Linked DNA regions of Notamacropus eugenii. The protein of the gene in region 1 interacts with the protein of each later gene in a pairwise test. Links are inferred from orthologs where the notes say so. Each region holds a gene or a part of one and is shown in the gene's direction. Other genes may lie near its edges.

Evidence for each region.
Region 2: the proteins of ATP10B (region 1) and TMEM30A interact in a protein complementation assay, tested with the Homo sapiens proteins (2 studies listed by IntAct, with this or other methods). The link is inferred for Notamacropus eugenii from reciprocal best matches to the Homo sapiens genes ATP10B and TMEM30A.

What each region holds. Positions count from the first base shown.
Region 1 is NC_092872.1:390,273,118-390,281,363, reverse strand, and holds the start of ATP10B (phospholipid-transporting ATPase VB), read left to right. Parts: upstream 1-5,054; 5' UTR 5,055-5,103; intron 5,104-8,246. UniProt on the Homo sapiens protein: Catalytic component of a P4-ATPase flippase complex, which catalyzes the hydrolysis of ATP coupled to the transport of glucosylceramide (GlcCer) from the outer to the inner leaflet of lysosome membranes.
Region 2 is NC_092873.1:145,188,635-145,197,247, reverse strand, and holds the start of TMEM30A (cell cycle control protein 50A), read left to right. Parts: upstream 1-4,920; 5' UTR 4,921-5,059; coding exon 5,060-5,335; intron 5,336-5,447; exon of another isoform or gene 5,448-5,722; intron 5,723-8,613. UniProt on the Homo sapiens protein: Accessory component of a P4-ATPase flippase complex which catalyzes the hydrolysis of ATP coupled to the transport of aminophospholipids from the outer to the inner leaflet of various membranes and ensures the maintenance of asymmetric distribution of phospholipids.

The sequences.
Region 1 (8,246 bases):
GGCATTTTCATCAGCCTCACCACTGACAAGGGCAAATGCTCAGCTAATGGCTTTTTTGTGTTATAGTTTGTTCCCCTCACCCCTTTACTTTACCTAGCATGTGTTGAGGGACAAGGGAGGGTGGGGTTGGGAAAGGAAGGGAAGTGTTTGGCACAAGGGATATAATCAAGCTCACCTTACAATACATTAATGACCAGAAAGAGACACGGTGGAGATTCTTAACAAAACCTAACTAGAGACCACTAACACATCTCAGTTAGACAGGAGTGTTTTAACTCTGCATAGAAAAATCAGGGGGGGAAAGCACATAGTTATTCGACTTTTTCTCAAATCAGGAACGTCCTGTTCAGAGACCTAGGTAGAAGCTAGGTCTTCTCCCTAGACTTAGGGAGAAGCAATAGAGGTTTTGCCGCAGGATACTAAACTTGGAAGTTCACTGGGAGCACTTGTATTTCTTCAGCATCAAAAAATAACAGGACTTACTCCTTCAGCATTTTAGAAACAGCAGGTCTTAGTAACAATTTAACAAGTATAATTAGTGATAATAGGAAGGTGCAAGATGGTAGAATGGTGTGAGCTCCCTTCATCCCCCAACACCATGCAGCAGTCTGCCCAGCAGCATCCTTGTTCTGTGTCCCCAGGCCTCTGTCTCCTCATCTATGAAATGAGAGGGTCAGACTAGACCACTGGGGCTTCTTTAAGCTCAAAAAATGTGTTACAGGGTAGTAAGAATCTAAAAGGTCAGCAAGCATAGCCCGCTTGGTCTGCAAAGGAGAAAAATGAGACCCAGAGAAGTAACTAGCCCAAAGCCTGATTCACAGTCCGGAGCTCTTTTCTCTCCAAAACCCAATCCATATAGCCTTTGATAGATGTTAGCCATGTTTCAAGGTATCAAAGGTACTTACCACTGGTAGGTTACAAAATATTCTTGACATAGACTGAGTACTTATTGTGTATAATACAGAGAAGTAGAAAGCCCAGTCCCTTTTTATGCAGAGGGTACAATTCAGTTGGAAGGCACAACCCCTAGGGAGCAACAGTTTATACAGGTATCAGTTCCACATTGCAACTTTCTCCATCACAGTTTCAATATATTGCAGGTCAGCATACGAAGTTAAACTGGAATTTGGGGGGAATTTTACAGAAGCCACAGACAACACACAAAAGCCAGCAGACAACGCAGAAAAAGTTTAGACATTTGGAAATGCATAAAATATATGTATAGGATTACATAATAACAACCCAAATTTTATAATAATATAATTTTTAATAATTTAATAATATAATATTAATTTTATAATTATATTATACATAATATAAATATAATATATAATAATATAATATTAATTAATAATTTAACAATATAATAATTTTTTTATACTGTAAACACCCCATAAAAAAAGAAAAAATGCAGACTTCTTCTCTGGTATGAAGGGAGAGTCAAAACATTTTACAAGGATTTTCCAGATCACAGGGGCACTGTACCACTAATCCCTATGATGTGGAAGGGATAAATGTATGAGGTAACACAACACCAGCTATGGACATGGGTCCACAGGAAGGAACACAAAGTAAGCGAGGGTGCACAAAGAATGCAGTGAGATTAACCAGGGAAGGCTTCTTGGAAGAAATTACTCAAACTGGTTTCTGAGAGAGGAAATATATATGAATTGAAAGGAAATTACTAGAGTCTTCTCAATAGGTAAAATATTATGAAGAAAAACCCAGAGCAAGACTTCCCCGGCTTTCAAAGTGAGACTGTATTTTCTTTTCCAGGAAGAAATAAGATGAGGCTGGATAACAAAAGTCAAGCTAGCTTATCTAGGGATTTGAATGCCATTCTAAGAAGTGTAGATTTAACATTGGAATAGTAAGAAGTCTTTGCTGATCGTTACTTGAACGAAAAAATAACATAATGAAAACAACATTTAAGGACAGCAAAATACAGGATGATCTGATCTTTAAAAAAAAAAAAAAAAAGACAGGCAGGGAACCCAGCACTAGGAAAATATTATAGTAATCTAGATATGGAAAAATGGAACTCTGAGCACAACTACATTGCTGTATTTCATTGTTTCATCACATATTGAACCTCAGAGCTATAGACAAGGAAAGAAAAGGGAAATGCATTTCCCCAGTGTAAAAGAAAGATAATAACACTCCCATCCTTGAAGATTCATTGAGTGTCCACTAGGTTCATGGCTTCCAGTTCTGGATTTCCTGTGGCATCATGGAAAGAACATTTGATTTGGAGCCAGAAGACCTGAGTTCAAATCCTAATACTACTTACTACCTGAGGGACCTCAATCTCTCTCTCTCTCCATCCCCATTCCCTCTCTCCCTCCCTCCTTCTCTATAGCATGAGTGCTCTGGACTAGCTGATTTCAAAAATCTCTTCCAGATCAAAATCCTTAAGTTCTATGGTCTATGCCCTTTCCGATAAGATATTTAGAACCAGGGTGGCTGTCTAGTTAATGTATGTGTGTATATGTATATATGTATATGTACACCCATATATACACATATACATGAGAAATCTGTCAGAATTTGAGGACCATATTCTAGTGTTGAACCTGAATCAGAAAATGGTAAATGGATACAGAAAAACAATTCATATTCTCTCCTGCCTCCAGCAGCCTGTCCCATTAAAGCCATCTGTAAGCTGAAGAGGATGCTGATGAAGGGATGAAGCCAGGACATTCCTGGGAGGAGAGGGAGCCTGAAGCCCTCAAGAGGACCTATGTGATGTCAGAACAGTATTTGGATCTCATCAGAGATGAAGCAGAGCAAAAACATGGATTCCATTCTAGGAATCAGAGAATATGGTCACTACCTTTTAGCAAAATTTCCCAAAGTTGAAATTCCCCCAGAGCTCTCAGCTCCATGGGGACAAACACAGCAGTCCTCATCAACAGAGAAGTGCAATGGAATCGTAAAATTCTTAAAACCCCTTAGAGATCAAGAAGAGAAAGGGAGAAGAGTCTGCCTTGTTTCTCCTTTAACATTTTAACACTATCATTTTCTTCACTGGAACAGCCATTTATTAGAATGGCTAATTGCTTTTTAATAATAGGCTGGAGGCATTGCTTAAACTGCCTTGTTGATCTCCATAAAACCTCAATAAAATAAAATGATATGGCCTGTCACTGGAAAATCAGAGGAAAATTTGATCTGTCCAAGACATCCTTCCCACCATTCCACTGAGCTCAAAAGCACCTGTAGTCATTGCTTCAGGAACTATGTATTGAACTCCTGTCTCCAGCAGCCTATCCCATTAAAGCCATCTGTAAGCTGAAGAGGATGCTGATGAAGGGATAAAGCCAGGACATTACAGAATAAGGTGATAAAATGATAACCTGTAAGGGCTGAAAGGGATCTTAGCCAACAGTCTATTCAACTCCATCTTAAACATGTTATTGCTTTTATATATTACTATATATAATATTAGGTATAATGTTATATATTATTATGATATATAAACAGCCTTTCACTGAGGTTGAAAGATTAAGTTATTGAACCAGGGACACACAGCTGGTTCACATTACTATTTTCTACATTTGTAAATGAGGAAACTGAGGCAGAGAGAAATTAAGTGGCTTGCCAAGTTGGGACATGAACCCAGGACTTTCTGTCTCTAGACTCAGCATATGCCACTTTGCCTCTCCTAGTGACTAAAACAACCTCCCAGAGCCAGCTACTTACAGGACAGGGACAAGATTATTTGTTGATTCAATGAATCTTTGGTTAGTTGGTTGCTGCCTGGCTCAGTAGTCCACGCTCTTTCTACCACACCAGCTGTCTCAAATTCTGTAAAGTGAAAACCTGAAAGAATATGCTATGGGTTCACTGGGGACCTGACAGTGGGAACAGATTCTTAGGAAGACCTGTCCTCAGACACTACTAGCTGGGTTACTTTGGGCCAGGCATTTAAACTCTTCTAGCTTCAGTTTCCTCATCTCTCTAAAGCTAGGATAACAATGGTGCTAATCTCATAGGGTTTGTTGTGAGGAACCAGTAAGACAATATATGGAAAGCCCATTATCAGCCTTAAGTCACCATATAAATGCCATCTTATTATTATCATCCACTCTTCCTCAAGTTACTAGCCTATCATAGACACAGAGGACCCTCCCTCCCTCTCCTTCCATAGGTCCTTTGGGTGTAGGAGCAAAAACTGAGCTGCAGCCATCCTCCCAGGCTACATGCATTTGTTTGCTTGTGGATTGTGTGCCCCCCCCCCCAAATGCAATCTCTTTATGGGCGTGGGCTGCTTTCAATTTGGGCTCCGGATCCCTAGACACTAGTTCCAAGCTGCACATAGTAGTATACTTAAGAAGGGCTTGTTGGGTGAGGTTCACGGTTTAGGGGAATTGATTTTTGCCTGTTTAGAAAGTCCTCCAGACCCAGAGAAAGGGAGAAATGAGGTTTCTGCTCCCTGGGTCCCAATCCCTGGATCTGGTGGGGTAGGGGTGACAGCGGATAATCAGCCCTGAGCCAAAGGCCCGTCTACCAGTGGGTATCTTGAAAGTTGGCTTCTCTAAGGAAAGTAACCATGGGTGTGGGGTTTGTGGGGGGAGAACCAAGCCAGTTGAACCGGCTGCACAGGGAACTCCTAGGAACTGGGGAGGAGGAGGGAGGAAGGAGAGAGTAAAGACACTCAGGACAGGATTGGGGGGAGGGTGGAGCCCAGGAATAGAGAGAAGAAAGAAGAGAAAATCAGAATGAGGTAAAGAGGGAGGGAAAATGGAATACTAATAGATTGTGAGGGACTTTACTGAGTGTGCCTTTATGTAGGGGACCCCCGCGTGGTAAGGAGGATCAAGGTGACTGTTTTCTGAACTGCAGCCCTGACTTTTTCTCCAAGGAGGAGCTGTTCCCACTTGCTTTTCCCTTGGACACTTCTAGGCCTGTCCCACCAAGAGGAGGAGCTCTGCCCCACCCCACCCCCTTTCCTATTCCTCTTTACCCCATAGAAGAGGTAAGATAACCAGTGGAACCTGTTAGCTAGCTCTATCCTCCCCCCACTACCATTAAAGCATCCTAACAGCAGGGAGTCACGCTGCCTGCCTCCCGAGTCACAGCTGTGCAACCTGCTCAGAGGAGGTAAGCTGAGAGCTGAGTGCTTGGAATGAATTGGGAAGGAAGGGGAATATCTTTGCCCCCTTTTTTCCTGGGCAACCGATCTCCAGATGGAAGGACACCCTGGAAAAGCTTACAATCCTGAGTCCTTCTTTTCCTTCAGTGGAGGTTCATAGGCTTTAGAGCTCAAAGGGATCTGGGAGATCATCTCATTCAACTCCCTTAGTTTTACAGATGAAAAAAGAGAAGCACAGAAAGTGGAAACGGTTTACTTAAAGGTCACAGAGGGTATAAGGAACAGTACTGGGATTTGAACCCAAATCCATTGATTTTTTTTTCTCTAGACACCACAATAGTTCCTCTACATTGTAACACCATCCTCAGTCTGAGCACTGGAATTGGAGGGATGACTCCTATGAAACCCTTTGGAATCAAGCATCTATCATTGGTTTTGAGATAGGTAGGGGAGTTGTCACAAGTTGAAATGAGTTTTAATTATCTCAGGTTTAAACAGGTAGCTTGGTGCAGTGGGAAAACCACTGGATTTGGGTCCAGAAGACCTTGGTTCAAAGCTTGGCTCTGCTTCTTACTACCTGTGTGTCCTTAGACGAGTCACTTAACTTCTTGGAGCCCCATTTTCCCAACTTTATAATGAGAGGCTTGGATACGATGACCCCTAAGGGAACTTTTGGATCTAATATTCTATGAACCTAATTAGAGGTTGCCTTTGGATGTGTTAGTTGCTGCTATCAAGGGTTCTCTTACTTACAAAGATGATTCCTTCTATGAGGTTGGGAATGGGGTAGTCTATTACACAGAGCAGGAGCAAAATTAACTGGTGATGGTGATGAGGAAGGGGGATGAAGATGGTGGAGATGTTAATGGTTACAACCTACTGGATTTTAGATCCCTTCAGAGCAGGGGCAGTGTACCTCTTTCCCTGCACCTAACATAGCAACCTGCTTCTAACAAATACACACTAAATGATTTCTGCATAATAAGTACATGAATGGTTAAAAATTAAACCTTTCCATCTGAGCTGTCTCTGTGCTCCAAGGGTCTACAACTCAGATGGAGATTAAGTTCAGCATAAGCTGTTAAGCAGAAATGACCCTTGCCAGCTAGTGCCTTCATATGTTATTTGGGAGTAAATTGGCACTGTTCATGTGTGATGGGCAGGTTTGGGGAATGGGAAGGAATGATTCCATAGAGGGTACTCTACCCCTTCTCCCAATACACTTAGAACATATCAGGTTCTATTTCCAGTTGTCCTGACCACCTTAGGCAGTACTGACTGGCATGTTGTTAGTTGTTGGTTTGTTGAAAGGAGGAGGTAGTATGAGGTAAAGGGAAAGAAAGCAACTCAATAGATGTAGTAACTTATTCTAAGTCTTTCTGGATTTAGAATGAGGGGGCCTGAAAGGACACAAAGGTAATGAGGATAGCTCTAAGAGGGGACTTCTTCTCCCTGCCATACCAAATCTGTACTGTCCCCAATTCTAATTTAATAGAGAAAAAAAATTGTTATGCAGGGGTCCAAATGACAACTTCAGAATTGCATAATCGAGGATGAATAGTTAGACAGCAATTTGTTTGGGGAAAAAAAACAGGGAAGGGCTGCTAGACTGATTCAAGGTGAATATGTGTCAGTTAAGATATAGCAGTCAGTGGAACTAAAGTGATCTTGGCCTCCATTAAGAGAAACTTAGTGTCCAGGAATAAGGTGAGAATCCCACTGTACCCAGTCCTAGTCAGGTCACAGTTAGAGAGTTTTGTAGTCAATTCTGGACAGTATATTTAAGGCAAGACTAGTTTTCAGATAAGAATGACCAATTTTGAGAGTCAAGTTCATGCCCTATGACATATCATTTGAAGGATCTATGAGTATTTAGCTCAAATGAGAGAAAACTAAGGAGGGGAGACATGATGGCTCTTCTATATGGAAGAGGCTTTGTTTTTATTCCATTGGTCCCCAATGAGCAGAAGAGTTGGTAGAAGTTATAGAAAGAATGGGGGGGAATGTCTAATAATTAAAGTTATCCAAAAATGGAATGGGCTGCATTGGGAGGTAGTGGAACCCTCCTCCTCACTGGGGTCTTCAAAGAAAGGCTTGATGACCAATTGTTGAATATATTAAAGAGGGAATTTTTGTTCAGGTATGAATTTGGCTATATGACTACTGAGGTTCCTTCCAAATTTAAAATCATTCTTCAATGATTCCTGGGGCCACACTAATGAAAAGTATATTTCATTAAGTTATTTCTTTATGTCTGTTACTCAATCCTCAATGACTCCTGCCAAATTCCTTTCTTGGATTTGAATTTGGAAAACACTCAGAAACCACTGTCAACATACCTCCCAGGCCGTCAGTGGCATTGGGGTTTCATAAAGTCAAAGGCAGATTCTAAAGTAAATTGCAGCCTGAAACACCCAATTAGCCCTTTAAACAGTGGGGGAAGGAAAAGAGAGGCCCTGGAGATAGAGAATCAAAACACTGATTGCCACAGGTGGTGATTTCTAAGGTCCAATTCTATGAACCTAGAAATTGCCTTTGCATAGGCAATTGACCGAGCTGTAGAAGAATTATGAGGTAAGTTCTTTTCCTATTTTTATAAGAAATAAAGAGAATAAAGAAATAGAGAGAGAGAGAGAGAGAGAGAGAGAGAGAGAGAGAGAGAGAGAGAGAGAGAGAGAGAGAAAGGAAATATAGAATTATTTTCCGTCTGTCTACCAGTTCACTTTGCCTTACCCAACCTGACTGTGCAGTCCAAACTGGCTGATGGAGATAAGCAACTCCCAGTCTCATTACTCTGGCAAACCTGCTGTTCTGGACACACAGAGATTCTGTTGATTGTAGAATGCCTGAGGATCTCGTCATGCTCATAGAGTTTTGAAGGTCTTGGGAGTTAATGCTTCTCTGCCCTGCTAAGTCACACCACACTCACAAATTCCTGCCTCACTTTCTAGCTATTTCTGCCGACTAGGGTTTGTGATTGTTTCAAATTGCTGTTATTTGGGATCTAGACCTGTGATTTTATAGGTGTGGAACTTCTTCCACTAATGCAAATAGGAAGTTTGGCTATATATGAGTTGTCTGGGTCACTGAGAAACAGTGACTAGCCTGTGATCCCATGGCTAATATATATCAAAGGCATTTCCGATTCCAA
Region 2 (8,613 bases), on another chromosome or scaffold:
GGGTTCTGTCACTGCTTCCTCCAGGGACTCTTACGTTGTGTTCTTCAAGAAGATCTAGAAGTTTGGGACAGCAATCTATACCAGGATAATCCATAGCTTGACCTTATCTTTGCCTTCCTGATCTGAACCTTGCAGGTTCCTGACCTTCAGTCTGAGTTCTGAGTAATATTGCTATATAGCTTTGAAGGTAACCTCAGAAAAGATTGCATCTAGTAGGTTAAACCAGTAAATCCATGTTCTTATCTCCCTGTTCCTGGGTACTTAGCTACATATTCCAGATTTGGAAAGCTTCTGTTCAGTGTGATTTTGAAGTGGACTTTTCTTGCTAAAATCCTTTGCTTTTGATTTTCTCTTTTGTGTCACCATAGGCTGTAAAATGCAACACAATCTCTCTTTAGATTTCTTGATCATTATTTGGTATGGTGCTAATTTTTCATCCTTTCTGGAGTAGGAGAGTGGGGCTCTTCTGCTCTCATTTATTCTGCCATCTTGAAGTAATCTCTTGAATAGACAATTTTCAGAAGAAGAAACGCAAACTACCATCAACTATATGAAAAAATACTTCTTTTGTTGTGAAGTCATTTCATAGTCTGCATGATTTCATTTGGGGTTTTCTTGGCAGAGATAGTACAGCGGTTTGCTGTTTCATTCTTCAGCTCACTTTATAGAAGAAGAACTAGGGCAAACAGGGTTGTGTCATATAGCTAGTAAGTGTCTGATGTTGGATTTGAACTCGGGTCCTCCTGACCAGCGCCACTGTTGTATCCACTGTGCCATCTAATTGCCCTACAAAATTGCTACATTATCATTAATAATAGAAGAAATGTATATTAAACCTTGAGGTTTTTATCTTGTACCATAAGACTGGTAAATATGACAAAAGAAGAAAATGGTAAATGTTGGAGTTGTTATGGGAAGATACTCATTGATAGCTGAGTTGTAAACTGACCTGTTTGGATATCATTAGGAATTATACTAAGAAAAAGCACTAAATTGTACATACATATCAAAGTGAAGCCTATGTATCATGGAAGTCAAAGGCAACAGGAAAGCTCTCTATGTATAAAAATATTTATAGTAGCACTTTTGTGGTGGCAAAAAACTGCCCATCAACTGGATGATGGCTGAACAAACTGTAATATATGAATTTAATAGAACAATGTTTTACTATAACAAATGACAAATATGAAGACTTCAGAGAAACTTGAGAAGCCTTATATAAATTGACAGGGCAAAGAAAGCAGGACCAGGAGACAATTTATACAATGACAACACTGATATAAAGGACAACAATACTGAAAACTTAAGAACTTTGAACAACATAGTAACTAATTTGACCTCAGGAATGATGGTGAAATATGTCTCTTCCCTTTTTACAGAAAAATAGCAGAGTGCAGGAGTAGAAAAAGTCATGTAATTTCATATATGACAAATATGTTAATTTGTTTTTCTTAAATGTGCTTATTTCTTACAAGAGATGGTTTTGTTATTGGGAGAATCATTGGGAACTGGCAGGCAGTGTTGTTAAAAGAAAAAGGGGAGAGGTCATCGATAAAGTACGAAAAAGAAAAAAACAACAAAAAAAAGGAAAACAAAAGAGTTGTGTGTTGTTGTAGCCAAAATATGTATCAATTTGTAGCTAACCTGTTGATTTACCTTTCAAAATCTAGCTGGACTGCTTGAAAGGTAGCAAAGAGTTCGTCATTGGTTGTTGTTGTTGTATCTGACTCTTTGTGACCTTGTGAACTATACTGTCCATGGGGTTTTCTTGGCAAAATTATGGTTGTGGCTTGCCACAGTGGATTAAGGCAAACAGAGGTTAAGTGACTTGCCCAGAGTCTGAGGTAGGATTTAAACTTAGGTCTTCCTGACTCCAGGCCAGCACTCTATCCACTGGGCTGCCTAGTTGCCTCTTGACATTGTCATTGGGACCATAATCAAAAGTTTTTATAGCTGGAACAAACAATGCTTATGTCCTATTGACATAGCTTTTGAGAACCCAGGGTCACTTCCATGCTATGATAAGGAAGTAGGGGGATGTTGGCGGAGACTTCCATAATTAATTAGAAAAATAATCCTGGTCTTTTCTTGCAAATCAAGAACTACTCAAATATTTAAGATTTCTAGGAGAATTTGTAGAGTTCTGGGCCAATATGAAAGGTGAAAGATAATAAAAGAGGCAACAGTATAGGTTGAAAGTTTCAACTAAGATAAAGGAGCATTTAGTTAATTTCCAGTGGGGAATTATTTAGTTGTGAAGGATAAAACATCTTTTAACTTTTTCAAAAGAATCTAACAAACAAATGTGTTTTTAGTATGATAATTTTGTCAAATGCTAAAAAAAGAAAGCAGATTTCTTCCATGTTCCTATTTTCCTAAGCTTTCAACCTAAACTGTTGAATTTTTTTATCCCTTTTTTTCTTTCCTAGTGGCCAAGAATCATGTACTCTGCATTTTTAAAGACCAAATTAAATTTCTTTGGCTTCTCAAAAACCATTCTTTGGCCTTTGATACTACTCAAGTTTCTCCCTTAGCACAGTGATTTACACTAAGTACTTAATAAACACTTTTTTCTCCTGGAAATATCAGACTATGACTTGATTGATAGCTTAAGTCTTCATAGATGTCATTTAAAAGGTCAAACTCCTCTAAAACTATTAAAAAAATAATATAGGACAATTTTTATTTCATCTACAAAAGAATACAAATAGTATAAATTACATCTAGCATTTATACAGTGCTTCAAAGATTTGCAAAGCATTTTGTTATTTTGTTTGAGGTAGAGGTGCTATTATTATCCCTATTTTATGGATACACACAAATTACGTAAGTTATTCCTCCCCTTTCTACACAGGCCTTTTGATTCCCAGACAGAATTTGGTTAAATCTCCTCCCTACCCTGTTTCTTCCCTCATTTTACAAATGAAGAAATTAAGGCCGACCAGGTAGAATGACTTGCCCAAGGTTACAGAGGGGGTGGTAGAAATCCAGGACTCAAATCTAGGTTAGTCATTAGATCCAGCACTCACTGTAACCTGTTGGTCTAATTTTTTGTTGTTGTTTGGAGGCAATTTAGTGACTTGCTTGGAACCAAACAGCTAGAAAGTGTCTGAGGCTGGATTTGAATTCAGGTCCTCCTGACTCCAGGGCTGGTACTCTATCCACTGCTCCACCTAGCTGCCTCTACCTGGTCTAATCATTGTTAGCCATCCAGTGACCTTCTCACTTTTCTTAAATAAAAGACTAGGAGTAGCTTCTGACCTCTAACCTGACCATACTAAGTTACAACTCTTATCACCCAGAACTTCCTTGTTTCCCACATACCCATATATTTAGAGCTAGAAGGGCACTTAGAGGTCATTGAGTCCACTCTGTAGTGAGGGTGAGGAAGGCCAGTACCACACTGGAAGAAACTGTTCCTGATATTTGCTATCCACTTTATAATTGCATGCATTTTTACCGTGTTATTTAACAGAAAGAAATAAATGATTATTTGCTTCATGCTTCCTCCCTCCCAAACCTAAAGCTATGGACAAGGTCAAAACAGCACAGATCAAAACAAGTGTAGGGTAAAACCATTCACTGACTTCAGTGATAGATGCTGCCACGTTTCAGTACAACACGCTTTTAAGGAAATACTAAAAATTGCAAGGGCCAACCAATCCCACCAAAGAATCGCAGGCTATCCTACTGACTTAAATATAGAACAGCCAACTATCAAACACACACACTTCCTTCCATTTCCCTTTCTTGGCCTTCCTTAGACAAAGAAAAACAAACAAAAATTCCTGTCATCCCCAGAGTGGATGTTAGAGCGCCTTCATCCAGCAGCTATGTCCCAGATAGGATGACTCCATAATGGGAAACAAAGAGGGAAGATCCTAAGTGGCTTTCAGGAGGAAATTAGCAGGCAGAAATGTTGATTCGTTAAAAACTGTTGCTTTTGAGTCTGGGTTCTGTTCCATAGCAATGTTTTTCCAACAATCCCCAAGGGACCACTCAGTGAGACCACTTCCAGCGAGTCCGGTCCCCTGCGCAGGACACAAGTTTCCTCGCTAGCCACCCGAAGGCCAGGATCGTCTGATACTGTCTGACGCTGATACTGTTTCAAGCTCAGGCATTTTATGTTTCTGCAGTTGAGTGAGGTGGGGGGGGGGGGGGGGGGGGGGGGGTCTACCAAGGAAGGTCCTGGGCTTTCTGGCCCGTTGGGAAAACCAAAGCTTCCTCCTCCCTTACAAAGGCTGCTGGGTGGCTCGGTGGGCACAGCGCTGGAGCTGGAGCTGGAGTCGGGAACACCCGCGTTCCAATGTGGCCTCAGACACGTGGTGCGTGAGCCTGGCAGAGTCAAATGGCAGACCATGAAAACCCCACCAACGTGGGGTCGCGTGGGGTGACACAGAGTCGGACACGCGTTAACAACATTCTTTCCCAGTAGTTTCTCCAGGCCTTCAAAAGCGGAAGGTGCGTCAAGGTCCCGAGTTCGATTCCAGCTCTGCCACTGATGGGAGGTCTTGCACAAATCACTCTCCGGGCTTTAGTAAAACGAGTTGGGGTGATTGTTGTGATTAGCTGACTGCTAAAGGGTCTTCAGGTTCTAGATCTAGGCCTCTCCGATCTCCGGGTACAACCTAGGAGGCTGGGAGGTAACTCCAGGACAACTGCACCTCGTAGGTTAAACCCGTAAGGGAAACTAGGAGGCGGGCGTCGCGCGTCACTCAGGCGCAGGGGCCCGGCGGCTGCGCGTGCGCCAAGCCCGGCCCGTCAGTTCTCCTGCGGGTACGAGCTTCCCCGGAGACGCCAGGCGGACGGTTATCCAGACCGCGCATCCGCCCCTCCCCTCCGCCTCTTCACCCTTCCGCCTTCCCTTCCTCTGGCGCCCCCCGCTGACGCCAGTTTCCGGTTCAGCGGTCCCCCGCGCGAGGGCGTCCCGCCCCTTCCGCCCCGACAGCAGCGGCGGCTGCTCCTCCTCCTCCTCCCCCTCCCGGTCTCCTGTCACATTCGGCGGCTGCGTCCCCTCGGAGGCTCCTCCGCGTGACCGGGAGCCGGGCCCCAGGGGTTGATGGCGATCAACTATAACGCTAAGGACGAGGTGGACGGCGGGCACGGGTCGAGCCTGGTGGTGGGCAGCCATGCGGGGCCCGGGAATGCGATTGGGGGCGGCGGGCCGAAGAGCCGACGGCCGGACAACACGGCCTTCAAGCAGCAGCGGCTCCCGGCTTGGCAGCCCATCCTGACCGCGGGCACCGTGCTGCCGGCCTTCTTCATCGTCGGCCTCATCTTCATCCCCATCGGCATCGGCGTTTTCGTCACCTCCAACAACATCCGCGAGTTTGAGGTGAGGGACTGAAGGACGGAGGGGCAGGGGCCGTGGGAGCCCGAGGGGGCCGTGGGAGCCCGAGGTGTCCGCTGCCCCCTCACCGCCCTCGGCCGCCTCCGCGTCTGTTTACCTGCCCTTGCTCTCGGGACCGGTGCGCTGTCCATCTTGCTCTGGAGTCTTCCGGGATTTCCTCCGGGCTGTGACTAAGGCGGATAACGATCGGATGAGGGCAGCGGTGGAGGGGTTGTTTGTTTTGTTGTTTTGGTTTGGCTTTGGAGGGGGTGGGGGAGAAAGCCCCTTCATTATGACAAGTGTATCTTGACACTTTGCTGACTCGTCTCTCTGCATGACAGCAGGGTGCTGTTAACAGCCTTCCTGCAGGAAGTGAAGCCAAGGGATGGCTGGCTGGACGGGCAGAGGGAATTTAAAATGTTACGGTGTAGTTACCTGGCTGTGAGCTTGTGGACAGCAGGGTTAGCCCCTGGATTGTGGGGAAAAGGAATCAGAAACACGTTGATATTGGTGATGGTGCCGGTGCATGAAAGAGCATTACACAGATAACCTCTAGGTTTGGGTATAAACAGGTCTTTTTAGTTATAAAGTATGAGGTTAATCAAACTTTGAAATGTCACTTCTGTTTTAAGGTTTTTAACGTTTTGTATCGTAATTTAGTTCTCTTATTACTAATCCTGTTCATCATAATCCTCAGAGATGTGGTCTAAGCAGTTCTGCAGATTAAAAAAAAAGAAGGCAGGTCTTGGAGTGGGGAGAGAGCATCATCTTAAAGCACTGAGATGACTACTGTACTTTTGTTGGTAGGGTAGCAGCATTGATGAAAGCCAGGGTTATTTTCAGACAGCCAAGAGCCAGTCTTCCATTAATGGCTTCTTGGAAAACAGTAATCAATAAACTTTTATTAAGTGCCTACTATGTACCAGGAGCTGAGGATATAAATAAAAAAGTGAGATAGTCTTTGCCTTATAAATAAAGGATATATATTTGAAAATGTGCAGTGATGTCAGGGCCACTACCAGTTGGGGGAATAAGGAGGTGCTTTGTAGGAGGTGACAGTTGCTAAGCCTGGAAGGGAAGTAGGGGTTCCAAAAGGCATGAGTGAGGTTGCAGCACATTGCATGGGGGAGTGGGGAGGGGGGAGGCCAATAGATAACCTGTAAATCAAAGAATTAAGATACGGAAAATGGCAAGTGGGCCAATTTGACTGGAAGGTAGAATATTTGAAAGGGAGTCATCTGAATAATGCCAGAAAACTAGGTTGGAGCTAGATTGTGCAAGATTTTAAATGTCTAGTGGAGAAACTTGTATTTTGACCTAAAGGCAGTGGAGTGTTACTGAAGCTTCTTTAACAAGAGAAGTGGCTTGGTCAGACCTGTAAGTTGGATGTATCAATTTAGCAGTTATACCGTGAAGGAGGATTTGGAGAGAGGAGAGACTGGATGCAAGGAGATAGAGCACTGTCTTGTGTCTTTCCATCTGGCTCTCTGTATTGGGAAAAATAAGGTTAAAGTACCATTTTAGAATCTCCATTCTACCAGTAAATAAATTGCATTACTCCCCATGTTCTATGCAACTATATATTTTCTCTCTGCCTATTTTGTTACTTTTAAAAGGAGAGGGATGGGGGGCAGCTAAGTGGCCAGTTGAATTGAGCACTGGCCCTGGAATCAGGAGGATCTGAGCTCAAAATTGACCTTAGACAATTACTAGCTGTGTGACCCTGGACAAGTCACTTAATTTTGATCGCCTGCCCAAAACAAAACCCCAAAAATAAAAGATGAGGGATGAATACTGAAGTTTTTTGATCCCTCCCCTGCCCGTTTTTTTAAAACTACTTTTATTTCCTTATCCAGTTTTTGTAAAAGAGTACAAATAGCTTTATAGTCCTTTGGGGCTTATATGTGTATTCTAGTAGGGCTTTTAGGGTTATTCCTTTTTTTTTTTTTAATTGGTATATGCCTTATCAAAAAGTGCACAGGTGTCTGCTTTCTTGTTTGTAATTTTTTCTTGTTTAATTGCATCCTAGAAGGCATGTGAGACCACAAGTTCTATGTGTTTGGCTGAGGAGATAAATTCATAGAGGTACATTGTAGTTCCTAGGGTCAAAAAATTCATCACCAGCTAGGCAAGCTTCTGGTAATGAATATTCTTGGTCTCAGAAACTCCTGAAATTATGTGTATCAGGGACAGAGGAAGTACCAACATTAGTGAAAATAGGTAATAGCGATAGTGAATAGCAGAGCTGGAACTTGAACCCCTATCTACTCATTTCAAATCCAGGCTTCTTTTATTACAATATGAGAAATTTTATAATTTTAGCTTTGGTTTTGTAGAATGAGAAAGTTGAACTAAATGATTTCTAACATTTCTTTTAATTTTAATATTCTGATTCTAATTTTAGATCTTTTATAGATTCTTATTTTAAAATTTTGTTACTTTTGGAGACTTGAAGAAATGACTATCTCTTTAGCATATAAAAATCCAGATAATTTCCCCAAACACTGCCAGTTATACCCAGGGTTTCACATTTGCCTAAACAAGTATGTAGCCCAAAGTATGTTGTGTTTTCATGCAGCTGTGTAACAGGAAGTTCTTGTCATGACTAAGAAACCGTAAGCCTCCACCACCTTTTAAATTTATTTCCCCATATCTCAATTTCTTTGTCGTCATTTCATTGTACTACGCTAGCATACCAAGGCAAAGTAAACTTTGGCACTTTTATAAAGGGTTTCATTTGAAGATTAGGATATTCTTGCATTCTGCTTCAGATTTTCAAGTCTGAGATAAAATCAGTTGATAATTATCTGCCACCAAGGAATGTTACAAAAAGAGTAATTAATTGTCTATAGGTTACCTTGGACTCCTGAAAAAGGTGCTTGTTCTTTCCATATTCTAATGCTTGTAGCTGACAGCCTGCTTATTTCTCCCATGAAATATGTCTATTTTTGTTTGGTGGTGTTTTTAGATTTGCCTAGTATAAATAAAATAAAATTAATAGGAATTGTGTTATTGTAATTTATCTGCTTTCATACTTTGAAGTATGTTTGTCAATTGATCTGTGTTTTCCTCAGTGTGTAGATACTCTAAATAACCATGCAGATATGAACAAGGTTCATATCCTCCAGTAAATCCTTTGCTGTCTTTTACTCTGCTTCTCTTTACACAGTTACTGATTGGTGCTTTTTGTATTCTGCTTACACCTACCACATAACTTTTCAATACCCTTTGCATGAGACTCAATTTAATTTGTATAATTCTTTAAAAACATTTTTAATGTTTAA